Linked DNA regions of Oryza sativa Japonica Group. The protein of the gene in region 2 binds, or shares a complex with, the protein of the main gene of each other region. Links are inferred from orthologs where the notes say so. Each region holds a gene or a part of one and is shown on either strand. Other genes may lie near its edges.

Region 1 (3,322 bases), on a different chromosome or scaffold from region 2:
ATTAACTCGTAAAAATAACATGCGTTCCAAAAGAGCTTCATAACAAAACAAGGTGGTAATAACATGTGATTAATTAAGTTTTAATTATTACAAATTTAAAAACTAGATTAATCTAATATTTTAGAACAACTTTCGTATAGAAAGTTTTCGCACGAAACACACCGTTTAACAGTTTGAAAAGCGTGCCACGAATATCAAAAAAAAAATATCCTCTCTTCCTAGAGGATTCAAACGGGGCCTAGTGATGGATTTGTGCGTACAGAAGAAGTATGTTCATTAGAGTTTAAATTCTGATATCCGCAGTTACACGTACAATGAGTATTCTTTCAGTAGAACTTTTAGTTATTTCATGCATTACGAACGTGTTTAAAAGAGACGTTCTCATGGGTATGTGCATCCGTTAGCCTATTCTATATCAGTATATCTCTAACATTTTTTTTTTGAAGCTTACAGAATACGATCAGATGGCACGATAATTAGCCATCTCAAAAAATGAATCTGAATAGCTCTGAATATCATCACTTAACTTTTGTTAAATTTTTCAGTTCAGTATAATTAATTTAGATGCGGAGCAACAGGCAACAGCAAATCGCCTCATATTGACATCTATATACAACACATTGTCATATATCACGAACCGACTGAAAACATCTGCAGATTAATCGTCGGAAGAACCGAAATAGGGGAAGAATCTGCAATGCAGGGAAGAAAACAACTGAAAAAACGCTAGTCTGGCAGGCCAAGGACCGATCTCCCACCCGATTGCTGAGCTAGCTTGAACGCAACCTTCGATCCTGTGCATATCATATTCTCTCGTAGTCGAGTTTATCCGACTGTAAAAATAGTGTTAAGATTAAGTGGTCAAATGATGGTACATTCTGCATTTTGGCAATGCTGCATGTGTGATGGACTTAGAGATACTGTAATTACCTTGATGAGCATGTAAGTTGGCAGCCATGCCGGTGGAGTTGGGATTCCAACCCAAGCGATCTGTCCAAACATATGAATGAGATTCAGAAGTCCAAATCTACAAAATATACAGAAGAAATGAAGTGGCAGGTGACTCACCAGGGCATACTCCCCTGTTTCAAAGATTCTGATGTCCAAAACCTGCACGGTAATGACGAACAAGATTATGACCGTAGCTAGAACGAAGATGTTCTTACTGCTAGGTTTAATTAGCTGAAATTAACTTCAGGTTCAGTAAGATGGGCTAAATAATTACCTCGCCACGGTCCTCGTATATGTAGTCTAGCCCCTTGAAGAAAGGCGGGTGTCCAACTGACAGATACTGAATCAATGAAACAAATTTTTAAAAAAAATCATGTGCAGGGGAGGAAATCATAGACTGAAATTACAGCACAAAGAGTAGAAATGAATGAAGCATCTATGCAGTAGCATCGATCAGTGTGCTTACGTTGATGCTGTTCAAGTACTTCTCCTTGTCGACGCGCACAATCTGGCCCTTCTTCACTGTGGCGCATCATCAACCAAATCAATTGGATGAAAATAAATGGATTGGTTAATCAAGTATAAACAAAAAAACAAACAAGAAGCTAAATGGCTTTGATGCTTGTTCAGAACTCAGAGCTGAAATGCAAAGTTGCAAAGCGTATTCATTACTCGAGTAGACAGGTTTCTTCTTGAGGATCTTCTTCGGCGCCGGCGCAGCCGCCTGGCCGTCTCCCGCCGCCGCCGCGGCGCCGCCGGTGGCGGGCTTTTTCTCCTCCCCGGCCGGCTCGGCGGCGGCGGCGGCCGCCTTGACAGGAGAAGCAACACGTCTCCTCCTCCTGGCTGACGCCGGCCAGCACGCGGTTGGCGTGACGGAGAAGAGAGCGCGCGGCGAGGAGAGGAGAGCTTCCATGGCGAGAAGCTTAGCTTTGGCAATGGCAATGGCAAAAAGCAAAGTGACGAAGTGCACGTAAATATGTGCCACATGAATTGCACGCGGCAGATAAGGTGACCACTGGGCCTGAGCTAGCGCTCTCAGTTTTGGGCCAACTGTCACAAAGCTTCAGGCCCAGCTCACCTCATTTGGGTAAGGCCCATATATGATGATTATATTATATGAATGAATTAGCAAAAGAAAAGAGAGAGAGAGATAGACAGAAAAAATAAAGGAGAATTGGAGGAGTCAAGGTCATGGATCATGACACCGTCTTAGATTGTTGTATGCTCGACCTCAGCGAATGAGCGAGCAAATGAGGAATTCCGCTTTAGTTTTATGTCGCTATTTAGCTTGGAAAGAGTAAACAACAGCGGCAAGTGGAAGGGAGAAAAGCGTTGAGAGCAATGCAAAGCCTAGCTTAAGCTTAGGAGGACACCCCCCCCCCCTTTTTTTTTTTTTTTGCAATGGTCATCTTCTACCTTTGCTTCTGCTGGTTTGTGGCACTTGTCGTAACATGCACAATTGACCGATGCCAAGGATCCTTCCTCCTCAAATGAATCCACCGCGTTTTCAACGTCCCCATCCATCCATGATCCATCCCATTTGACCTCTACTTTAGCAAAACATAGCAACCCTTCGAAAATATTCGATCAAACCGGCCCCACGCGTACCATTATTTTGTCTTGCGACGGTTGCGCTGGAAAAAAGCAAAAAAAAATCATGAATCTTCTTCCGCATGTCCAGGTAGTGAATGATCCGAGCATATCCTGGCCCCACATGTCAGTCTAACGAACACCCAGGCGACTCCTGCTTGGGTACGGCCTTTTGCCTTTCCCAGATGTATAACAACTGCCATGTGGAAACTGCCATTAATTATTATCTGTATGACATGTGGGGACCACCCGATGACCCTTCCTCCTACTCTGCCTCGCGTTTAAAAGGTCATCGCCTTTCAAGTCTCTCGCTGCGCCTGCGCGTTGCCGTCGAGTCCAACTACTCCATCTCACTGACAGATGGGCCATTCGCCCTCGCGCCACAATGCATGCGGCGGCGGCGGCGGCGACGGCGAGTCGCCGCCCTCGCCGCTGCCGTCTCGCTTCGAGCGGTTCCGCCGCCGCCTCCGCCTGCGCCACCGCGACCGCGCGGGGCGTCCCGGTGGCGACGCCCACGCCTCCGAGTCGGGGACGGGGAGGGCCATCGCCGTCGACGAGTTCGCCGGCATCGCGCGCATCCGGATAGTGAAGGTACGGGGCCGGGTTGGGTGTGTGTGCTTGCGGCTGCGAAGCGGAGGGGGGTGGAATTGGGGATCGGTGGTTTTGATTCATTCCGTCTGTGTACGCTGCTGCTGTGGTTTTGTACGCGTTGTTTTGATTTGGTTGGTGGCCACAGGCGGATATGCAGTTCAAGGACAAGTTCATCGCGTGCCTCTCGCTG
Region 2 (3,201 bases):
CTACCCTTTGATGGCGAGTACTGAGGAGGTATGTTGAAGTTGCTAAATACTAGAGGCACCTTCACTTTCTGCTTTTTTGCAATGCCAAAACTTGCATCTTGCGGTAGCCCACAATGCAAATTTTCTTTGTAGTTCTACAAAAATGATAGCTGCATTATCCCCTCTTAATTACCATTTGGCATTTTTAAAATTTCAACTTGTTCTTAATATGTACATATGCGTGAACACTTTCTGTAACAGGCTGAAACTGGTGGGCTCACCAGGGAAGAGTACGGGATAAAACTTGCACAGAACTATGGTCGCTCGGTTGGTATGCTAAAGCCCTATGACAGGTTGATCATTTTCCAGAAGATCGGCGATTCATCTGTTGTCAAGATCATCGAGTGTGACAGTTCGTAAAAGATTAGACACCTACCACATTCCGTCCAAGAGTTTCAACCACACAGAGGCGGATTACCTTTTTGCTTTCTTTCTTGTTTGACATGATATTGAGACTAGAATAGGGAAGGCCAATTGTGCTGTTTGGCAATTTACCCATTTTAGGTCCATACTTGCTTTTTCAATAATTTCATTCAAGAGCCTATTTACACATTGCAACAATCCAATTTTGTGGACAAAATACAGGATACAGGGACATTTGGTTACTTGGTGTGGATGTGCAGTACTTATTTCGCATTACATCATGATACACCCGTACGTATAGCAAACAACATCTTGAGAGTGTATATGTACCTGAAAATTTCTTCTTCCTGGCATGAATGAATAATCTAGTACTGCTCCTTGAAGAAGACGGCGTAGATGAGGCAGAAGACGCAGAAGATGATGATGCCGATGTCGATGGTGAGCGCGGTCATGGCCTGGTCGCTGAGGTCCATGTTGCGGCCGCCGAGGCGGTCGACCATGTCGGGGACGGACTGGTAGCTGTCGAGGTCCTGCTGGTAGGGGTCCTCGAGCCTGGACCGCAGCTGCTGGAGGCGCCGGCTCTCGGCCTCCTGCGCCAGCGTCCAGTCGTAGAACCGCCGCGACTCCTCCCGGCTCAGCACGTTGTACGCCTCCCGCAGCCGGATGAACCGCTCCGACGCCTCCCGCAGCGGCAGCGACGTCGTGTCCGGGTGGTACTCCTTGGACAGCCGCCGGTACGCCGCCTTTATCTCCTCGATGTCCGCCTTCGGTTCCACCCCCAAGAACCTGGGTTTGATTTTTTTTTTGTACAAGTTTTTTGTTGGAATTTGTTCAGGTAAGTTCAAATTCTATAGGTAGTACCAAAAATTGGCAAATTGGCAAGGTTTTGTTAGGAGAAAAAAAAATGTCCCTGCACATCCCCTAAAAATTGTCTCGAAACCAAACAATCTCCGAAAAACATCAATGGGTTTTCTGGCTAGCTCCAAGCTCAAAGCCTCGTCCCCTTCTAGTTATTTTGGTATTAAGTTATTTACTAATATTCGCTATGCATTGGAGTTAACACTCAATTGGTATTGTGACTAGGACGGTGATTTTTTTTTTCATACGGGTTGGAAATTTCGAGACTTATTCAATTTTGGTTGAAGTTTGTCCAAAATTCAAGTCATTTTGAAATTTGTTCAATTATGAATGAAGAATGGGACAAGAGAGGCAGCAGTAGCACTCAACTGGTAGTGAGACTCGGACGGGTTGTTGATGAGGTCGGCGAACCTCCCACCGAGCGGCTCCTTCTTCCGGCCGCCGCCGTCCTTCTTGGCGTTCCCGCCGACCCACCCTTCGTCCGGGTCCGACCAGTGTATCCTCGTGTCCACCGTCTTCTTCTTCCCCTGCGCCGCCGCCCCGGCCGCCGTAGCCGGGGACGGCTCCGTCTCCGGCGCGCCCCCCGCCGCCGCCGCGACGACGACGGCGACGAACGCCCTCCCGCTCCCGCGCCGGCCGTGGACGCTCGCTCGCCGCCGGTGGAGGAGCGGCGTGAACGGGGCGGATGCCGTGGACGCCGCCATGCGAGCGAGGCCGGAGTGTGCGTGCGTGCGCGCGCGCGGCGGCGCACGAGTCGAGTCGAGTGCTTTTGTTTTTGTTATTATTTTTTGAGGTGGTGGTGCATTCCAAAGGAGCTCGAGGCTGAGGAGGTGTGCATACGCTGCGGCGCGAGACGTGGTGAGGAGGCGATGAGGTGGGGCCCTGGCGTGGGGCCCACCTGCCAGCATGGCATCTCCCGGGCCCACGTATAGCTTCACGCCAAGAAAATGGGATCCGGCTCTAAATTTTAAGTGCTAAAGGGAGAGGAGCAAAGTAAATTGTATCCTGTGCTACCGTGTGGAACAGTGATTTTGCAGTTATTTACTATAGTATTAGTGGTAAATAGTAACTATACTGTACATAGATACTGCTCGCGTGTTACTCTAGAGTATTGTAGCGATCAATCTCATCCGTTCGTTATAGATCGGACGGCTGAGAATACCCTAAAGTCACAACAGCGTGCTTCTCTGACTGCACTCGAAAGATCTCAATCCAAGAGAAACGATGGAGATGAAAAATTTTAGCTATCCTTCCAACCGATTGTTACTTACGCCTATACCACATAAAACTAGAAAAATAAAGCTATCCTCGGGTAAATTGTTTTTGCACGCCACAACGAAAAGGCTAATCCACATGTTTCGTTTTGGGTTTTTGGCTTCTTGCCAGTTTGGACATGGATGGAGATTGTTTACGTGCATTGGCTCGTAGCCGGATAAATAACAGCTATATCCTCAGACCTCAGTCGAAAGAAGGGATGAAATGGCTAACGATAAATGGAGAAAAATGGGATAAAAAAATTGACGAAATGGAGATGCGGGGGATCGAACCCCGTGCCTCTCGCATGCAAAGCGAGCGCTCTACCATTTGAGCTACATCCCCGAACATGTAATTCTTTCTTTCTTAGTATTATTTTACTTGTAAAAATTCTGAGTTCGGCAGGGGAACATCTTTCTCAGGAAATGAAAATGAAGCGGCGGATTACATACGATTAATTAACTATTAGCTAAAATTTTAAAAAAAAACATACTCCCTCCCTTTCTAAGTATTTAACGTCGTTAACTTTTTAAATATATTTGACCATTTATCTTATTAAAAAATTTAAGTAATTATTAATTATTTTCCTACCATTTGATTCATTGTTAAATATACTTATATGTATACATATAGTTTTATATATTTCATAAAAGTTTTTGAATAAGACGAATGGTCAAATATGTGCTA
Region 3 (4,296 bases), on a different chromosome or scaffold from region 2:
TTTTTTAGGACAGAGAGAGTATGCAGCAACAAAAGGTATTGGGAAAGGAGTAACTTTAGTCTGCGTATGCACGAAAAGACAGACATTTGATCTTTCATGAACCACAACATTATTTCCTGACCCTCGACAGGTAAGAACGTTTTATTCCAGCCGAACAATAGAGGATTCTTCTCAACTTAGAAATCTTGGCCTCAACTCAGCATGATCTCTGACTGCGCGGAGAACATGCGATAAGTTCACAGCTTACTATGAAACCAAAAACAGCAAAGTCTCCGGGGGAAGAAGATTAGCCCTCTGGCACCTATTAGACCACTGGAAGCTCCCCACACTCACTGATGACCACCTTCTTCTTCGGGCGGTCCCCTCTGTCAGTCTCCTGCGATTCGATCATCTTAACGATGTCCATGCCTTCAATAACCTGCCCAAACACGACGTGCCTCCCATCCAACCAAGGTGTCTGCATTCGCAGGTAGCAGTCAGCGCAATGTAATTTTGAGTGAGTTTCGACACTAGTACACAGTGAACATATCAGTACAGTGTTACCTTGACAGTGCAGATGAAGAACTGGCTGCCATTGGTGTTTGGCCCAGCATTGGCCATGCTGACCACTCCAGGTCCAGTATGAACCACTACAAACATTACAAGACATATAATCAGCACAACCACAAGATAAGAAGCAGAAAGAACGATCAGATTAGGTCATTTGTCAGACGTACATTTGAAGTTCTCGTCTTTGAAGGTCCGGCCATATATGCTTTTCCCTCCAGTACCCTGAAATATTCATTTTTTGAAACCTACTTTATCCACATGCAGAAGTTGAAAGCTGAATGATTTGATGTAGGCTAGGTCAAAAATTCATAATTCATGAAACCAGGCAGCTGCATGATTTAATTTAGGCCATCAATTTAAAGAAAAAGGATTTGGTGCTAATCTCCTTGTAATCTAGCCATGAAGTCAATAATCACTGCATACACATTATGCTGATCACAAACTACCAATTCATACTCATAATGTACATGATGCAAAGCAGTATAATGATCTAAAACACCATAGGGCAAGCACTGAAGTGCATAACACAAAGTTGTATAATGATCCAAAACACATATATAGGTCAGCTTTCTATCCAAAACAGCATAAAGCGCTAACATTGATAAAACAAATCAAACTTTTTTTTTTTTGGAGAAATAGTTGGCTCAATGGTGATAGATAGAAACAAACACATGAGCTCATTCAGTGTTGTGAGTAATGTTACACTATGTGACTTTTTCCAATAGAGTTTGTCAGATGAAACAGAGGAACAAGTGCAACATAGGAGTAGATTATAAAGAAAGTAAATAATGAAGACATACGTTGCCCTTGTCAAAGTCTCCTCCCTGAATCATGAAGTCCTTAATGACACGGTGGAAACTGGACCCCTTGTAACCAAACCCTTTTTCTCCTGAAAAGGAAAAGGGCAATGGTATGTGTATCATGCACCAAATCTGGGTAATCCTGTAAAGTAGTAGATGACAGAAGAGAAGAAAAGCAAGAAGCCCTTTGTACCAGTGCAAAGAGCACGGAAGTTCTCTGCGGTCTGGGGAACATCATCCCCGTATAGGCCAATAACGACCCTCCCAACGTTCTTCCCAACAGGGTTTCCGATGCTTATGTCAAAGTACACCTTGTTTGTGATTTTGGACTGGAGGTCCACTTCCTGCAATGTATGGGAGAAGTTTAGCAAAACTGAAAGAATAAATTTGAAGCGTGGTATCCAGTTCTCCCACATAGGGTAAGAATAATCGATACTTGCGCTGTTCTTTTATGTATGATGTTAATTGAACTAACCAACGTCATATATTAAAGGAAGGAGGTAGTATATCGTAAGTTAACATCTAGTGGAGGAAAACATGAAAGCGCATAGTGCACATGGGAAAGGAAAACCCAGCTTTCAGTAGTACAGAAGGGCACACGTGTTTCCTCACAATGTTGCAGGCAGTCACTGATGATGAATAACGTGTTTACATTCGGTGCACATACAAGGTAAGACCTGTAAGTAGCAGAACCCTATGGTCGAGGCAACTAAAATTATTAATCAGAGCAGGTGAATACATAATAAAGCATTGGTGATGATAAGCCTGAAACTGCAATTTTGGTAGCATAAATTTCACCTGGTGATTTAAAAATCTGATAACAAAATTTGACATACAAAGGCATTACTAGTATTAGTTTTAATTTAATGGTGTTGGAAGGTCGAGGTCATCTGTGCTAACCCAATATCTCTTCCTCCAAAGAGGCAACAAACAGGGGCCGGTATTGCGGAGGCTGATTGCATAATAATAGTCCAGTAAGGTGGAGTAGTAAATTTGACTGATATACTACTAGACAGGATTACAAGAATGGATGCGGTGCGGCAATAGAAAGATATATGTAGGGCAGATAAAAGAAGAAGATCCGGGGACACAGTACCTTGGGGTCAGCGGTGGCGGAGGAGACGAAGCGCGCGCGGCTGTGAGCAGCGGAAAGCGCAGGAGTGAAACCTCCAAAGACGGCCGATGAGGGGAGGCGTGCGGTGCCGGTGCCGGTGCGGATGGAGAGGAGCGGCGAGGGGGTTTTGGAGGCGAGGAGGGCCCGCTCCGCCGCCGGCCGCGCGATGGCCTGCAGTGCAAACACAAGAGAAGAAAGAGCGACGATAATAAGATTGAGAGCTCGGTGGGGAAGAAGAGGAGAGCAGAGGCCATGGATGAGTGAGCTTACGAGTGTGGCGAAGGAGGTTGCGACCGCCATTGTTGATGTTGAGGAGGAGACCCTTTCTCTCTCTCTCGCTCAGGTGGATTGGGATTGGATAGGTAGATAGGGCATTGCACTGGGATGAATGGATGGCATTTTTGCATATGTGTGCACAGGAAATACAATAATCACACACACCTTCTTCATTGGGGGAAGTACTATATTTTATTTTTGGGACCAAAAGCATCTGTTAAATCAACTCTATTTGTCCCAATCCAACTATTTAAAATTTATTTATTTACAGTGTCTCTTTCTATAATATATCGGTAAGTTATCAATTATTATACAATATACCATCGGACTATACTATTTTCAAAAATACCTAAAATACACCATATAAGGTTAATATTTGATTTATCCTACCATAAGTTTCAGAAGAAAAAAAATGCTAGTTTATGCACTAGTTTTAAGATTTTACATTTTTATATTTTTTTAAAAAAAATTATTTATCCATTATATACTGCAAGAATTTTTTTTTTGCTGTTTTTAATGTAACTTTTTTCGAGAACATACCTCATTTCTAATGTAAATTATCTTTTGCGTAAGTAATTTCTCTCTCATAAAAAACTCAAAAATATTTTTTTTAAAAAAGTGAAAACTTGAAATTTATATATAAACTTTCATGTTGGGTAAGTAAGCTACATAAACAATTCATATTTTTAAACCCTTAGATGAATAAATTAATTGTTAACCTTATATGTATTTTGAGTATTTTTTAAAACTAGGACCTGAGTAAATATTTTTCTTGAGTTTTAGGTTATAAGACTTCACATTCATATATGTCTAGATCTATTAACACATATATAAATATGGACAATGCTAAAAAATAAGAATAGGAGGTGGTATTATTTTTTTTTTGGTAGAGAGGGGAGGGGGCCGCATAGGAGGCAGGAGGTAGTAAAATGGGCTGATGGGCATAGTATTCACGGGGGCCCATGTAATAGATGGGATGGGCTTGAACACACATGTAATGTAACAATAGCCTCGGTCGAGGTGAGGTGGAAGAAGCAAAGCAATCTCCGTGAGCGGTGATGGCGCAGCAGTGGCGATCTCTCCTCTTCCTCCTCCTCCTCCTCCTCGTGCCCTTCGCCGCCGCCGCCGGGCAGGATGCGCCGTTCGTGGTAGCACAGAAGAAGGTTGCGCTGTCCCGCCCGGGTCCAGGCGTGGAGCGCCTCGCCGTCACCCTCAACCTCTACAACCAGGGTTCCGCGTCAGTCCCCTCCCCATCTCATCTCCCTCTTCCCCCAGATTTAGATCCACATCTCTCTCTCCCTCTCTTCACTTTGTTAACCTATTATTGCTCTATCCGCCTTTCCTTATTGATTAATTCGCATAGGTCAAAAACAACGGGAATTCCTACTGTTAGCTAGACTTGATAGATAGCCGCGAGCCCATGTTTCCCTTTCTCTGTGTAATAATGTCAAGCTGACTCACTTGTTGATAACACAAATTATCACGCTACTATTGTGCATATATACTACTCCTACATGACATGACATGATTGATAGTCACATACACACACATCAATCG
Region 4 (2,972 bases), on a different chromosome or scaffold from region 2:
CAGCCTTAGTAGTACCTTTCACTGTAAGAGCAAGTATAATAAAAGGCCGTTAGAAGGTTGAATGCTAACGTGGATGAGAGAGGAGAGAGAGAGGGAAAGCGAGTGGTATGCTTAAAACTAGCTTAGGCATAGGAACCAAGAAAATATGTGAGAGAAACATGGGAACCATATAGTTTATAGTTAAGAGCTAACTACTACATGAGTTGGCTGAGAGGTAGACTGTGAAGATCTTATACCACATTTGACGTGATTTGGGCTCGTCGTCTACTCCCTCCGTCCCAAAATAACTCAATATAGGATAGGATGTTACATATTCTAAGACAACGAATCTAGATTGAGTTATTTTGTGATTCTCTCCATCCCAAAGAAACCAACCTAAGAGGGGATTTGACCCCTCCCAGTACAACGAATCTGGACACTACATCTCCTCTTAGGTTGGGTTTTTTTTTACGGAGGAAGTATTTCTTACGGATAGTAACTTTAGGGGCCTATTTATGAAAAAAAATAAAAAGGGGCTTAAATGTAAAATTTTCAGTCGAAAAACACGAGGTCCTCATCCGAAATTCCTAATTGGCGACTGGTCGCGTGCCCCCTCACCCCGCGCGGATGGACGCGTGGCGCGCGTAGGAGGGGGAGGGGGCGCGGCGGCCGCGCACAGTGGGAGGCCCGCGTTCTTTTTTTTTCGCCGGTTTTTATGGTTGTTTTCTTCGGTTCTTTGTTTTTTTAAAAAAAAAACATCACATATATAAAGTTTGTATATACAGTATACAAAGTTTATATACATACGTATATAAAGTTTATATATATGCGTATAGTGTATATATAAAATTTATATACGTGATGGTTTTCCTCTATTTTTTTTTATTTTTTAAAATGAACATATATAAAGTTTGTATATATATCATAAACTTTGTTATACGTTATATATAAACTTTTGTATATGCGTATATATTTACATATAAAATATATTTTTTAAATAGTACTAGTAGTATATAATAACAGTAGTAGTGGTGTAGTGGTCCTAGTTACCAGTACTAGTAGTACTAGTACTAGTTCTAGTTAGCTGTGTTTATTCTAGAGTAAAGTTTAGATTTTGGTTGAAATTGAAGATGATGTGACTGAAAAGTTATGTGTGTATGATAGATTGATGTGATAGAAAAGGACTGAAGTTTAGATCCAAACTTTGGATCTAAACACAGCCTTAGTAGTAGTAGTTAGTAGTACTCCAGTTACTACTACTTCCTCCGTTTTACAATGTAAGTCATTCTAGTATTTTTCATATTCATATTGATGTTAACGTGTAATAAATGCTAGAATAATTTATATTATGAAACGGAGGGAGTAGTAGTTTAAAGTAGTACAGTGGTAGTAGTACTAGTAGTACTTTAAGTATATACTGTACTCCGTATAGCAGTACCAGTCGCCCATTAGCCACCCCCGGTCCTCATCCACCTAGGCTTTAAAGGCTTCGTCACTTCCACACATCCTCTGCTCCGCTCTGCTCCACCAATGGCGCCCACCACCCCCGCCTCCTTCCTCCGCCCGCCGCCGCTGCCCCACCACCACCACCCCCGCATCGTCCGCCTGCCCCCTCCCTCGGCGACCTTCCGCGTCGCTGACCTCCTCGGCGGCCGGGGTCTCTGCAACGGCGAGGTCGGCATCCGCAAGGAGCTCGCCTCCGACTCCCCCGCCGCGCCGCCATCCACCACCACTTCTTCCGACGAGCCCGCGGAGTCGCCACCGCCGCCGCCGGCTGCGTCCGGGGTGGACCCGGACGCGTTCGACAAGGAGATGATGGGCCTCACCGGCGGATTCCCCGGCGGCGAGGTCGGCCTCAAGGACTTCGTCGCCAAGAACCCGCCTCCCCCCAAGCCGGCGCACAGGAAAGGTCTCGCCGCCGCCGCCACGGTGGAGCGGCCGAGGGCGCCGGAGCTGCCGCTGTTCCTCCCCGGGATGGTGGTGCTCGTCAAGAACCCCAACAACGCCTACCACATGTACTGCGGCATCGTGCAGCGCGTCACCGACGGCAAGGTCGGGGTGCTGTTCGAGGGGGGGATCTGGGACAGGCTCATCACCTTCGATCTCGACGAGCTCGAGGGGAGGGAGAAGGGCCCGCCCATGGTGAACCCTAAGTCCGTGCTGCTCGAGTCCCTCGCCGCGGAGATGGAGGACGATGTGGCCAAGGAGGAGGAGGGAGAGGAGGCCAAGAAGAAGAAGGAGGAGGAAGGCACCGCCGCCGCGGCTTGACCACCATTGCTGCTTCTGCTTCTTCTTGTATGTATACAGCTATCTATATTTTCTTAGATGATGGAAGTGAAAGGGGTATATATATATATATTATCTATTCGATGAGTAATTTCGAAGTGAGTAAATGTGTTGTTGTTAATTGCTATATGTACAGTTGGAATCTTAGTGTGAATTGGCACTATGAAACAAACGATTCGGAGATAAAAGTTTAGCTTCTTTGTTGAATTGCTATATGTTTGATCAATTTGATCACGTTTGGTCCGGATTGCTAGTGAAATGCCTACAAGGGCACCAGTTGCCATAGTTCATTATGTTGGTAGGATTAATTTTTTTTTTTACAAACTTGAATTATCATCTCTTGCTTCTTGAAGCGAAGAGGCTATGACAGTCAGGTAACCAGGCTTTCATGATTGTAAATTGTACAGAGTATGAATGTTCAAGTGTTCGTTATTCCTGACATGACTTCAAAATCCCGCAGTATTTCGCACAGCAACTATCTATGCATTGTAGTTTACGTTTGCCTGATAGCTGGTTTCCCATGATTTTTGTTTATTTGAAAGAGTATATGAAAAGATAGGGCCTTTACTTCTATATAACCTGCCTTACTCAGGAATAAGTGTAGCAGCAGATTTAAAAGGATGGTAAAGGAAGACAGTGAAGTAACAATAATGATATAGTGTTTTGCAAACAGAGTACAATTTGTATTGATTACCACCATCTATATC
Region 5 (3,873 bases), on a different chromosome or scaffold from region 2:
AATTTCATGACACCGAGCAGCATTCAGAGCATCTGACGAAAAAGGTTTTCGTTTTAAACCGACAAGAAGCTTTTGGAATTCTTGAGTCTTCCTGCCACGGAAATGGCAGCTCTCCTTTTCTTCCCTCATTCACCTACCAGTTCTGGCTCTGAACCGGTCAATCGATAGTTCAACTCTCACGATTTGGGTGTTCTTTGGTTTCATAAAAGGATTTTAGGATATTCTCTGAAGTCTGAACAATGCATGTTTCGATTTGATGGTTAACAAACCTATGATTAAATTATCTTGTGGCAATACTGCAGTGCAGACAGCAGTCAAAGGCTCAAAGCTACTACTGCACATGTGCTTTGACACGAACTTTCGACATTTTTTTGAGTACATTAGTATTGATACAGTCGATTAGCTTGCTTGAACTGTTGAAGGTTTGGAAGTCACCAGTCAATCGATATTCAGTCAGAGTTCAACTTCATTTAGTTAGGACTTGCCACAAAGGATGGGAATTTTTGTTGTGTTTGGCTGTACCAATGACAGTATGAATAATGAGACATGTCTTTACAACGTTATACTTACACAAACACAAGACTTTTCTTCTCTAGAAAACATAAGACCAATTTGATAGTATATCAGAGGACCGGTTTGTTATATATCCTTTCACTTCTTGGTACAGATTGCAAATGTAGTACTCTGCGTATTGGAGACCCAAGGAGCTCCGGTGACGCATTTGCTTTCGGCGTCTGGGCTTAGGCATGTCGCACCCTTTCTCTTCATCTGTCCGTAGTCCCGCCTCTTGTATGAAACGCCAAAATTTACTCGAAAATCTGCCAGAGAATGTAACATGCTTATGTAACAAACAACAACCCCTTTAGGCAAGGGATACTGTTTTCAGATGAAAAAAAAATCAGACAGGTTCAGAATACCACCACCATACCTTGTTTGCACCTAGTCTGTTCAAGTCATGCATATTCCTTTTCATCATATGCTCACTTGTAAAATCCAACCAGGAAGATGTCGTATAGGAGTGTGGTGTTGCCGGGAATATTACAGTCTCCTGTTAAATAAGTAAATCTTCTGTAAATTTGTATATTTTTTCTAGCGAATGCTAATAAGGGAGCCAGACAGATAGCACTGAAACATCGTTAAATACATGAAACTTAATCTGGTCTCAAATTTCTAGAATTAAATTAAGATTACTTGTTTGATTACTTTTTTTTTTCTTTCGTTATTACCTGAGAAGCAACCTGCTGGTTCAGGTCCGTATGCCAAAGTTGCAGGTATCATAAGCTTGCGCTTTCCACCTGTAATGTTATTGCGATTTTCAACAGAGACACGATGTGATTAAGAAAAATAAAAGCAGTACTATATTTTTAGCATTTGACACACAAAGAGATGCATATGCTTATTATTTCTGGATTTCTGACAGTACCAACGAGCATGGGTGGCACACCACCGCCACCACTGATTCCCTGTTCAAGCCCTCGGAGGATCTGAGAATGAAAATGCGAACGAACCAAACAATAAGATTCCTTGCATAACTACATAAGATGCTTGCTACGATCGAAGATGTACGTGCAATGAACAAAAGCTGCGCACCTTGCCTGCGCCAAGGCGCATTGTCAGTGGCCGTCCTCGCTTGTAGGTGCTGTCGAACACTATCCCGTCAGTAAATCTTGCAGTGTAGTGTACCTTACAACCATGAACACAACTCCAATTAACACACTTGAAACTCCTATCAGTGTCATGGCGAGAAAAAAATGGCAGGTTTATTCGTTGTCGAACTAACTAAAGGATCGGTACTGATGCAAATTGGGCAAATTTATGATCTGCCAATGCTTAATTACTCCATACAGGAGTTAATCATATTCAGAAAACACAGGTTCTTCTAGAGAAAGTGCGAGAAACTCTTCTGTCGGAACTGACATTTATGAGCTGGCCGCGCGGGGGCTGGGCGCCGGTGCCGACTTCGACGTCGCAGTAGCCGAGCCCCGACTTGACGACGTTCATGTCGCACAGCTTGTCCCCCACCGTCGCGTAGTACTCGATGCGCGTCGCTCCGGCGTCGCCGGCGGGGCACAGAAGCCCAGGGGAAGCCAGGAACCCCGCGCCCAGCGCGAGCAGCCCCCTCCTGCCGGCCGACGTCGCCACCGGGAGACTCCAGGCAGCCGAGCACGAGGTCGACGACGGGGAGGAGGAGGAGGAGCTGCTGCTGCTGTTGCTGCACGCCGCGACGGTGAGCGGCCTGCCCGGTTTGGCGACCGGAGGCGACGGGATTGGGTTGGAGGCCATGAGCGAGAGGGAGGAGGAGATAGGAGGAGGCGCCATCGGTGAGTGAGTCACTTGGGGAGTAGAGAATCGGATTATCCCCAAACTGTGGCTGCTGCAACGCGGGCACCTCTCTGTCGCGTCGTTATAAACGCCCGCGTACGTCGTCACGGGCCATGGGCTTTCCCAACTCAACACCCGAGGACCGAGGAAGGAATCCTCGTTTTTTTTGCGGGCCAAGCCGCGTGTCTCGTCGCCAAACGGCGGCCGTGGCCCGTGGAACGACAGATGATTCCAGGAAAAAGTACACCGAAGGTCCCTCAACTTGTCATCGAGTTACAAAATCGTTTCCCAACCGCAAAACCAGATATCAGGCGTTCCTCAACTAACAAAACCGTTCACTTTAGATCCTTCGGTGGTTTTGACCCCGGTTTTATTTGACGTGACGGCTGAGTCAGCGCGTGGGTCCCACATGTAAGATGCCATATCATCACCTCTCTCTTATTTCCCATTTTCCCCTCCTCTCCCTCCCTCTCTCTCTTCTCAGGGCGGCCAGCGGGTGCGGATTGCGGAGGAGGCTGGTAGGGCAGCTGGCGACGGGTGGCGATGTGGCAACTTGGTGCGGCACCGACGAGGATGGGGTTGGCCTGCAGCCAGAACGCCGCCATCCCCCACAGCTCCCGCAGCGAGCGTATGCTAAGAGGGAGGAGGCGGGGAGGCCGGCAGCGAGTGCATACGAAGAGGGAGGAGGCGGGGAGGGGTTGGAGGTGGGATGAGGGCGAGCTCGCCGGCCTCCCCGCCCCCCTCGCCAGACCTGCTGTAGCGCCCGTTCCGTCGTGGCGCCTAGCGGGGAAATTATCTCTTAAAAACCCTAATTGCGAAATTTGTTTCTTTGCTTGTTGTCTAGTATCCGTGCCATCTCAAGATCTCAATCCCCGATCTATCGTCGAGTTCAATTCCGAATCCAATCCCTCCAAATCAAATTCCTCCGCAAAAGTCCATTTTGCCTCCCCCAGGGTCGATGGGCCGATTTTCCCTCGGCCCATCTTCCCCTCTCTCTCCCGGCTCTCTCTCTCGCTTTCCCCGGCGCGCCCCCGCTCTCTCCCTCTCTCCCTCCGCTCCGCCCCGCGCCGCGCGCGCGAGCGCGCGTCGCCGCGCCGAGCGCCCCTCCCTCGCGCGCCACGCGCGAGCGCGAGAGCCGCGCCCTGCGCCCCTCCGCTCGGCCCCGCGAGCCAGCACGCGTAAGCCGCCCGCGCCGAGCCAAGTCCTCCCTCACCGCTCCCTCGCTGCCGCTTCCCGCGCGCTGTGTTCGCGTGCGCGCGCCCGCGCGGACGCCGCCCGTTGCAAGCCGCGCGCGCGTGCCGAGTGGTCGACCGCCCGGTCGCCGCCGCCGTCAGCCTCTGCACGCGCCTGTCGCCAATGTCGCCGCTCCGCTCCAAGCCGTCCCCCCGTCATCGTCGTCGTCATCGCCCGGCCCCCGCCACTCCGCGCGCAAGCCGCCAAGGGACGGAGCCGCGCCCCTCCTCCCTCTGCCGCGACGCTCCCGCTCCCCTTCCCCTTTTTCCCGAATCGGCAAAGGGGCAAGCCCCTTTCTCCCCCTCCTTTTCCCCTTTT
Region 6 (3,629 bases), on a different chromosome or scaffold from region 2:
TGATCAAGTTCCTTTTCGCTCTGTTCAGCCAGGGGTCATGGTTCTGTGGCTTACCGTTTTGTCGGAGGAAAAATGTTAGGTGTCGCTGGCGCTGCTCTGAATGAGCGGAATGGTGACCTGGTCTTGACAACAAAATTTTAGTCTGAAGATTCAGATGACTAGCTTTGTTGAAACTCTAGGAACTTATTCTGGAAATAGTTAGCGGGTTTGGAGGGGAACTTATTCTGGAAATAGTTAGCAAGTTTGGAGGGCATTGTAATTGTTGTAATATATGAGTTGCAAACATTCTTTCTGAGGCCTGTGTACTTGATTCCTTTCGCCTCTGTAATGTATTGGTTTGATCGTGCACACGTCTGTATAGAAACGCTGTTGATCTGTTAAGTCCTTGGCTCCGGAGACTATGGCCTAATGGTCTGCCTTTTTAACTGATGGCTACTCGTCGCTTGCAAGTTGCAACTGATGGTTGAACCGATTCAATCAACATAATTAGATGGCTATAATAGAAAAATAGCTCTAATAGCATACACACAATTAATTAATTGAAGTCTATAAGGTAATTATGCATCCTTTTTCCTGGAAGCTGAGCCAGGGTGTTCGATCCAGCACTTTTTCTAGTGGTAGATCAGCGTCTGTATGTATGTATGTATCTACATGACTACGAAGCAATAAAATAAAAGATATTTCTGCAATTGAACTGCCTCCCATCACGCGGTGAGGTCGGACAGCTTGAAGGAGTCGGCGACGACTTTGAGCCTGTTCCTCAGCCTACTCCATCGCCGCTCGTTCGCCGTCACGATCAGTGTGTAGTACCGACCTGCCATGCCATTGCCATTGCCATCAGGTTAACCAGCTTCTTCTTATGAGAGGAAAAAAAAATACATGCATGATGAAATATACAATTTAATAGATGATGATGATATATATCTCTGCGATCTTGTGGTGAGGAGGCATCATATCAATATCATACCGTTTCCAATGGCAACCGTCGCAAATGCGGACACGCCGTAGCCCGGGGCCTCAAGATCGTACTCAAATGTCCAGTAGTTCTTGCCATCCACGGTGCGCTGCGAATCACAACAACTCAGTTGCTTATTTTGCTTGCAGAGTTGTTGCAGTCTTTGTTATAGCCATTCCAATGAGATCAGACGTAAATTAATCAGCGAAAGAGCAATGCAGCGACAGTTTGGTATACTCAGATAGATCATATGGCTAAATAGTATTGATTGAAGGAGATGGATAAATGGCAAACCTCTTGCATGTCATAGACAGTTGGTATTTGATTTGGAGCAGCATAAACATTGTTCACCAAATTGAAGATCGCCTGATAGAGGAGTATGTAAATTGTCAGAATAAAAAAAATCTATGATGTATAACAAAAGAAAAGGCTAAAAAAATTGCCTGATTCCTTTACATTACCAAGAAAGATATTATCAGATATCGCATGAAATCCTACCTCATCCATTGGACCAAGGTCACGGATATCTGTTTTTGTAGTAGGAATGAAGCCCACACGCACGCACTGCAGCGCTACATTACGATCTTTGAACGCTGAATCATGCCCCAGGAAGTCGAAATCCTGAAGTGACACATCAAAACAAAGGGCATACATCAATACCATGTACCACCGAAAACACAGTCATTGGAACTGACATCTCTGTTCTTCAAGACGAAAATATTGCAACCTACCCTCCAATCAGCTGGATACAGGTATGAATATCCATCTTTTGAATCCACATAAGACTTGTAATTCTTTGGCACTTCTGGAATATAGGAACAATCCGAGTTAGTATCATCTCATGGTGCCATAAAGGCTTAATGGCTACTTGAGAAGTGGGAACTTGTATGTAACATGCAGACAACCTAGTACTGAAATAAAACCATGCGACAGTTCAGATGGCCATGCCTTCAGCATATGCAGAGCTGCTCTTTAGCAGACCAGTGGCTAATGCTCCAGCACCAAGCAGAGCTAATCTCCTCCTTGTCACATCTGTAAGATGGAGAGATAATCAGCCAAAAAAAATGTTAATCTTCAGAAACAAAATGCATCGAGAGAACTGACAGAGAGGAATTTACTCTTTTCATCCGAGGATGCTTCACTCGAGCTAGCGTTGACGACTGACAGAGGAGACGCATTCAGCTTGCTGGTAACAGCACAATTTGGAGCAACCAACTGAAAACAACACCGATATAAAGTGGTGAAATAAACAAGATTCAGAAAACGATGAGAAGAGGGCACAAGCACACACCTGCTTGGAAACGGAGCAGATCAAATTCTGCAGGCTTGCCATTTCACCTGCAGGAGTAGCTATGAACCTGAAGAAAATACGTGTTCTTGCCTTCCTCCAGTCAAGTTATCCTTTGCTGCTAGGACTGGCTCGTTCGCTTTTCAAGTGTAGTCTGTGTGTCTGTGTGAGTGGAGGGCAAGGAAGCCAGGTCAGCATTTCCATTATCCTCATTAGAACTTTTGGCCTTGTCTCGTACTGAGCACTGACTGACAAAATGGGACCAATCCGTTCCTGTTGTGATTGTGGTGGAGATATGTGAGAGCTTTATGTTTTTCCAATTCTCTTTTTACCTTTTTTTTTGTACATTGACTTTGGCTGAAAAACAATATATGTACACACACACACACACGATCCTACCATCAGATCATGCGATACATATTCGATAGCTTCGATGTAACAAGAAAGATGATTTTGACTGTGCTTCAAACTTGGTAGATAAATAGTACAACAGCTGCGAACTAACGCATTTAGCCATAGCAAATAAGCAAAGCTGCAATTAGCAACCATAGTGCCACTAGCATAACAAGACTGAATTTGCTCCAGACTGTTCACAGCGAAAGGGGATGCTTGAAACAAAATTTTCAGGTTAACATAAATAATATACAACAGCAGCTAAGATATTTTGAGGCTAGTAGTTCTTTGGGGCAGGTTTCACTAAACCCAGTCCAGAACCACTCCCCAAATGCTTGAAATCTCTCGCCTCTAGACGCTCATCATGGGCAGCGAATCCAGTTCCTCCTTTTTCCAAAGGAACGAAATTCCTCTCCTTGCACGGTTTGTTGCACACCAAGCAGACCTTATCAGTTACAAGGAACTTGTCAGAGCACTTCTTGCAGAAGACATGGCCACACGTGCTGATCGTCACCAGGGACATGGTGTTTGTTAGGGTAGACTTGCAACTGGGGCACATGTAGCTCTTCTCCACCGACTTCTTGTTTTTCTGGTCGGTGTTTTCTTCAGTGAAGGAGATAGGGAAGAGCGATTTCAACTTGAGCTTCTCCTGTCCCTCGGGGCAGATTGTGTCAGTGGAGGGAGCTTCTACTTTGGCAGTAGCTTCAGGTGTAGCTGATGGAAGCCAGAATGCCTTCATGTTGCGAAGGGCTTCCTCCTCAAAGGAAGTAACCTTCACGCTGTTTGCTCCATGAAAACCATTCTTGTCTTCAGAGCCGCTGCGATCGTGGTATTGGGGGACGGCTCCATGATTCTGCTGATCAAAAGCGTCCAACTCCTTGGACTTTTGCAGCATACGCTTCTCATCCTCCTCTTCCTTCTCCAGCTTTTTCTGGGCCTCATGAGCAGCAAGTTTGCTGGAAGAACAAGAATTAACACTCAGAATTCCATCCG
Region 7 (3,484 bases), on a different chromosome or scaffold from region 2:
GTCGAGAGACCTGTGTCGAAATAACTATTGTTAGTCTCTGATGACTGATGAGCTGATCGACGGAATACTACGAAGTTCTGCACCCTATACAAGTAGTATATACATGTGCTACCTACTGTGGTAGTGTGGTCTGTACTGTACGTTGAGTGCAGACTGATTGCTGCTGGTTCGCGGCCTGTAGTGGAGCAGCTCAAGTATGATCAGCGGTTCTTCTTCCTCGATCGAATGGCCGTGGCCGACGATGGCGTCCAATTCCCAGCGCGCGACCACCAGCGCAAGCAGGCCGAACTAACGGAGTTTTTTGGGCCAGTCCATCACCGAGCGGCCCGGTAAAGGTAGCCCATAATCGCTACCATTCTGTACTGGACCCAAATAAAGTTGGCCCGACACCGTGAGAGCCGACAGAACGAAAGCATATTGGATCGCCACAATTTGGTTGCGATCTGACAAAACTTCCGTCTCCACAGGGCACGTATATCCACCATGGTGTAGGTCTATATCAGTCGATTTACACAATTTATATATTTTGGAAGCAATATCCACCATGGTGAACGGTACAGGTTCTTTGATTAACATGGAGTAGTACATTCCTTCTTTTAGCCTACACTACAAATGCAATATAATGCATTCATGCAGACGGAGCACCTATTTGCTTTCCTTTTGAGTCTGATGCCAACATTTACAGGCGCTATCAGGCAACTGTGTATCTTGCTATTACACAGCCGCTCTGTACGGTATTACAGAATGCAGCCGCATCGCGCCATGATCATGCAGTCATCCATCCATGCGCAATCTCTCATTCATCCATCAGTTTGTAAGCTGCTCCTCCTTGGCTGCTTCCTCGAGTTCTCTGAGCCCTCCGACCCTCTGCTCGATCTCCTCGAGTAGCTCCTCCCTCAGGAGCTCCTCTCTTGCAGACGCCTCCAGGTCCTCTTGCTGCAGAATCAACCATGGGAGAGTGGAGATCGATCAGCAAAATGACTGGTTATCTTAGTAGCTTCGCACAACTAGAGTTTGTCTAATTGTCTGAATGTTCTTTCTTCGTGATAAAGGAAAAAAAAAAAGCCGTAATGAAAGACATACCCGGTCATAGTACCAGTGCACGGTGCCGTCACCCCCTTGTCCCCTGTACGCCTCACTGTCGTAGAAAGGATCCTGTAAATTCACACAAGACCGTGTCAGTAACACATATCGAAGATGTAATTTCGTTCCAAGTTGTAGTGGCATATGTTCTGCGTGCTTGCCTTCATGGACGCAAAGAAGCAGATGCCCCAGACTGTGAAGAAGGCGTAGAAGGTATCTACGAGACAGACAGAGAAATTTTTTTGTGAAAAGTTTCAGTTTCAGACGTAACAACAAACTGCAGGAAAGGTGAAACGACGACGACGACTCACAGACGCTCTTGAGGGCGGCGTCGCTGAGATGCCAGATCGACTTGTGCACGACGTAGTCCCTCTGCAGGTCGACGTGCTCCACCATCGTCACCATCAGCGTCACCACGTCCAACGGGGACGCGTTCGCCTTCACTGAACCCCTCCCGGCCGATTTCTGCAAACGCTAAGACCGCATTACTTTGCCTCACCAATCACCACGGATTTCTTCTTTCTCGGTGAAAAAATTAAAATGCACTGGGACCTTTCACCTTGCAACGGCTGGAGTTGGACCTCGGGTCATGGAATCCACCGAGCTGCAAATTTAACAACAACATTTGAACAAGTAGGTGAAATTCGCAAGGAATTCAGGAAAGCAGTTTTTGCATGAACGCGAAGGGGAGAATGGACGGTGCGGTACCGTTGCACGGCAGCGGCCATGGAGCTGGGCTCTGTTCGCGGAGTGAAGAGCAGAGAAGTGGGGGGACGACTTGAGCAGCGGCAACGCCATTGCTGGTAGGCTGCTGCTTCAGTAGCGGGTTGGCGATGAGCTTGTTGTTGTCAGTGTAGCGGGCTCACGTTTGGCTCAGGGGTGAAACCTGTAACCTGTAATCTGTATGGAAAATTTTAGTGGATAAGGTCAGACTTTTGGGTGGCCAACCATTGTCTGATCTTGGGCAGACGAAAAGCACAAGAATTTTGGGCTTGGTTGAAGCGGGCTTGAGCGTTGCTAGGCCTTGCCCGGTCAAGGTCATGTTTGGGCCGGATGGGATTAGGTTGACCCGTGGGCTCGTGGCCCGTTACGTGCATCCGTCCGCCATTTCTTGGAGGGCGCTACGGCTTGGCGTCCGGCATCTCACCAAAAATCGGACGCCCATGCAGGCATGTGAGAACGAACCCTGTCACTGTAACGTATGTGTCTAACTGCTTCTTTTCATTCTTTTCTCCTCTCTTTAGATATTTTTTATCCTAAATTACTTATCCAATTTACGATCCGATCACACCGTTCTATTCGTTGCAATTAAATCTTTACAATGAGATATCACATGATTATATTATGTCAAAAGAAAAACATGTATTTCAAAACGTTAAAACAAAATGTTTCGTACGTGATAGTGATATGTTTCAATATGTGTCATCGGTGTGTTTCACAAAATTCATGAAACTAACTGCTACTACTCTCTCTCCTCTCTCTCCACCTCATCCATGCACACATGTATGTATTTTAGCAAGCTTCAAAATAATTTTTCTCTTAAATTACTTATCCAATTTATGATCCGATCACACCATTATATTTGTTCTAATTAAATCTTTACAATAAAATATCACATGATTTTATTTTGATAAAAGAAAAATATATGTTTCAATTCGTTAATACTTGTTGTTTCATATGTGCCAGCGACATGTTTCAACGTGTATTTTCACCATGTTTCATAAAATACTTAAATGTTTCGGTTGTTGATTTTTTTTGTTTCACCATATATAACATAATGTTTCACTTGCTGGTCAACGCTCACCCCCGCACTGCCGCGCGCATACGCATGCATGTAGGCCGCCCATGCTGCATTGTTCACGTGCCACGTTGCTTGCCTCCCCTGTATGTGTTGCTTGCGCTGCTGCTTGCATACGCTCCCTCCCTCTCCCTTCTATTATTACATGTGCCTAATTTTTTCCTCAAATTTTAAATATTTTTTTCTCCAAAATTATATATTCTGATCTAAATTTCAATGATACCATTAGATTCATCATCATTAAATCTTTATAACAAGATCTCACATGGTTATATTTTGATAAAAATATACATGTGTCTCAAAAAATAACTTGTCTCACCATTGATAGAAAACTGTTTCATCACATGTACACAAATATTACAACTCACCTCGTGAATTGTTTCAAATTTAGAGAAATACAACAATTTACTAACTGAAACAATCACAACCACTACACAAAACGTTAAATACCAATGAGTGAAACATAAAAAAAATCATATGAAAAATAAAATATTTTTGCACAAATACTTAATTATGTTGAAATATTTTTAAATCGGACGCTACAAATCGTACGTTCAATATTTTTTCAAATATCGGAGCCTACCAATCGTACGTTCAATATTT

The links.
Region 1: NAD(P)H-quinone oxidoreductase subunit T, chloroplastic (region 2) and NAD(P)H-quinone oxidoreductase subunit O, chloroplastic share a complex: the UniProt entries of both Arabidopsis thaliana proteins name them as parts of the chloroplast NDH complex. The link is inferred for Oryza sativa Japonica Group from reciprocal best matches to the Arabidopsis thaliana genes NdhT and NdhO.
Region 3: NAD(P)H-quinone oxidoreductase subunit T, chloroplastic (region 2) and photosynthetic NDH subunit of lumenal location 5, chloroplastic share a complex: the UniProt entries of both Arabidopsis thaliana proteins name them as parts of the chloroplast NDH complex. The link is inferred for Oryza sativa Japonica Group from reciprocal best matches to the Arabidopsis thaliana genes NdhT and Pnsl5.
Region 4: NAD(P)H-quinone oxidoreductase subunit T, chloroplastic (region 2) and NAD(P)H-quinone oxidoreductase subunit S, chloroplastic share a complex: the UniProt entries of both Arabidopsis thaliana proteins name them as parts of the chloroplast NDH complex. The link is inferred for Oryza sativa Japonica Group from reciprocal best matches to the Arabidopsis thaliana genes NdhT and NdhS.
Region 5: NAD(P)H-quinone oxidoreductase subunit T, chloroplastic (region 2) and photosynthetic NDH subunit of lumenal location 4, chloroplastic share a complex: the UniProt entries of both Arabidopsis thaliana proteins name them as parts of the chloroplast NDH complex. The link is inferred for Oryza sativa Japonica Group from reciprocal best matches to the Arabidopsis thaliana genes NdhT and PnsL4.
Region 6: NAD(P)H-quinone oxidoreductase subunit T, chloroplastic (region 2) and photosynthetic NDH subunit of lumenal location 1, chloroplastic share a complex: the UniProt entries of both Arabidopsis thaliana proteins name them as parts of the chloroplast NDH complex. The link is inferred for Oryza sativa Japonica Group from reciprocal best matches to the Arabidopsis thaliana genes NdhT and PnsL1.
Region 7: NAD(P)H-quinone oxidoreductase subunit T, chloroplastic (region 2) and photosynthetic NDH subunit of subcomplex B 4, chloroplastic share a complex: the UniProt entries of both Arabidopsis thaliana proteins name them as parts of the chloroplast NDH complex. The link is inferred for Oryza sativa Japonica Group from reciprocal best matches to the Arabidopsis thaliana genes NdhT and PnsB4.

The regions. Positions count from the first base shown.
Region 1 is NC_089035.1:42,962,927-42,966,248, reverse strand, and holds NAD(P)H-quinone oxidoreductase subunit O, chloroplastic, read right to left. Parts: upstream 1,930-3,322; 5' UTR 1,865-1,929; coding exon 1,624-1,864; intron 1,474-1,623; coding exon 1,418-1,473; intron 1,292-1,417; coding exon 1,226-1,291; intron 1,111-1,225; coding exon 1,069-1,110; intron 991-1,068; coding exon 931-990; intron 834-930; coding exon 804-833; 3' UTR 501-803; downstream 1-500. Other genes in the region: phosphatidylserine decarboxylase proenzyme 2, read left to right, coding at 2,902-3,132, 3,278-3,322. UniProt on the Arabidopsis thaliana protein: NDH shuttles electrons from NAD(P)H:plastoquinone, via FMN and iron-sulfur (Fe-S) centers, to quinones in the photosynthetic chain and possibly in a chloroplast respiratory chain.
Region 2 is NC_089045.1:6,122,221-6,125,421, forward strand, and holds NAD(P)H-quinone oxidoreductase subunit T, chloroplastic, read right to left. Parts: upstream 2,022-3,201; 5' UTR 1,965-2,021; coding exon 1,630-1,964; intron 1,189-1,629; coding exon 768-1,188; 3' UTR 501-767; downstream 1-500. Other genes in the region: pyruvate kinase 1, cytosolic, read left to right, coding at 1-28, 241-399. UniProt on the Arabidopsis thaliana protein: NDH shuttles electrons from NAD(P)H:plastoquinone, via FMN and iron-sulfur (Fe-S) centers, to quinones in the photosynthetic chain and possibly in a chloroplast respiratory chain.
Region 3 is NC_089039.1:192,030-196,325, reverse strand, and holds photosynthetic NDH subunit of lumenal location 5, chloroplastic, read right to left. Parts: upstream 2,801-4,296; 5' UTR 2,764-2,800; coding exon 2,734-2,763; intron 2,635-2,733; coding exon 2,446-2,634; intron 1,694-2,445; coding exon 1,543-1,693; intron 1,439-1,542; coding exon 1,350-1,438; intron 772-1,349; coding exon 717-771; intron 630-716; coding exon 544-629; intron 458-543; coding exon 305-457; 3' UTR 68-304; downstream 1-67. Other genes in the region: uncharacterized protein, read left to right, coding at 3,798-3,976. UniProt on the Arabidopsis thaliana protein: NDH shuttles electrons from NAD(P)H:plastoquinone, via FMN and iron-sulfur (Fe-S) centers, to quinones in the photosynthetic chain and possibly in a chloroplast respiratory chain.
Region 4 is NC_089041.1:5,276,820-5,279,791, reverse strand, and holds NAD(P)H-quinone oxidoreductase subunit S, chloroplastic, read left to right. Parts: upstream 1-1,418; 5' UTR 1,419-1,509; coding exon 1,510-2,247; 3' UTR 2,248-2,472; downstream 2,473-2,972. UniProt on the Arabidopsis thaliana protein: NDH shuttles electrons from NAD(P)H:plastoquinone, via FMN and iron-sulfur (Fe-S) centers, to quinones in the photosynthetic chain and possibly in a chloroplast respiratory chain.
Region 5 is NC_089036.1:32,085,055-32,088,927, reverse strand, and holds photosynthetic NDH subunit of lumenal location 4, chloroplastic, read right to left. Parts: upstream 2,395-3,873; 5' UTR 2,320-2,394; coding exon 1,918-2,319; intron 1,684-1,917; coding exon 1,591-1,683; intron 1,485-1,590; coding exon 1,424-1,484; intron 1,296-1,423; coding exon 1,227-1,295; intron 1,049-1,226; coding exon 981-1,048; 3' UTR 929-980; intron 819-928; 3' UTR 501-818; downstream 1-500. UniProt on the Arabidopsis thaliana protein: NDH shuttles electrons from NAD(P)H:plastoquinone, via FMN and iron-sulfur (Fe-S) centers, to quinones in the photosynthetic chain and possibly in a chloroplast respiratory chain.
Region 6 is NC_089037.1:9,604,744-9,608,372, reverse strand, and holds photosynthetic NDH subunit of lumenal location 1, chloroplastic, read right to left. Parts: upstream 2,409-3,629; 5' UTR 2,289-2,408; coding exon 2,247-2,288; intron 2,171-2,246; coding exon 2,074-2,170; intron 1,988-2,073; coding exon 1,904-1,987; intron 1,761-1,903; coding exon 1,687-1,760; intron 1,577-1,686; coding exon 1,454-1,576; intron 1,322-1,453; coding exon 1,250-1,321; intron 1,065-1,249; coding exon 968-1,064; intron 815-967; coding exon 705-814; 3' UTR 501-704; downstream 1-500. Other genes in the region: E3 ubiquitin-protein ligase CSU1, read right to left, coding at 2,914-3,592. UniProt on the Arabidopsis thaliana protein: NDH shuttles electrons from NAD(P)H:plastoquinone, via FMN and iron-sulfur (Fe-S) centers, to quinones in the photosynthetic chain and possibly in a chloroplast respiratory chain.
Region 7 is NC_089036.1:31,695,870-31,699,353, reverse strand, and holds photosynthetic NDH subunit of subcomplex B 4, chloroplastic, read right to left. Parts: upstream 1,988-3,484; 5' UTR 1,882-1,987; coding exon 1,792-1,881; intron 1,688-1,791; coding exon 1,643-1,687; intron 1,549-1,642; coding exon 1,395-1,548; intron 1,301-1,394; coding exon 1,245-1,300; intron 1,156-1,244; coding exon 1,084-1,155; intron 937-1,083; coding exon 808-936; 3' UTR 501-807; downstream 1-500. UniProt on the Arabidopsis thaliana protein: NDH shuttles electrons from NAD(P)H:plastoquinone, via FMN and iron-sulfur (Fe-S) centers, to quinones in the photosynthetic chain and possibly in a chloroplast respiratory chain.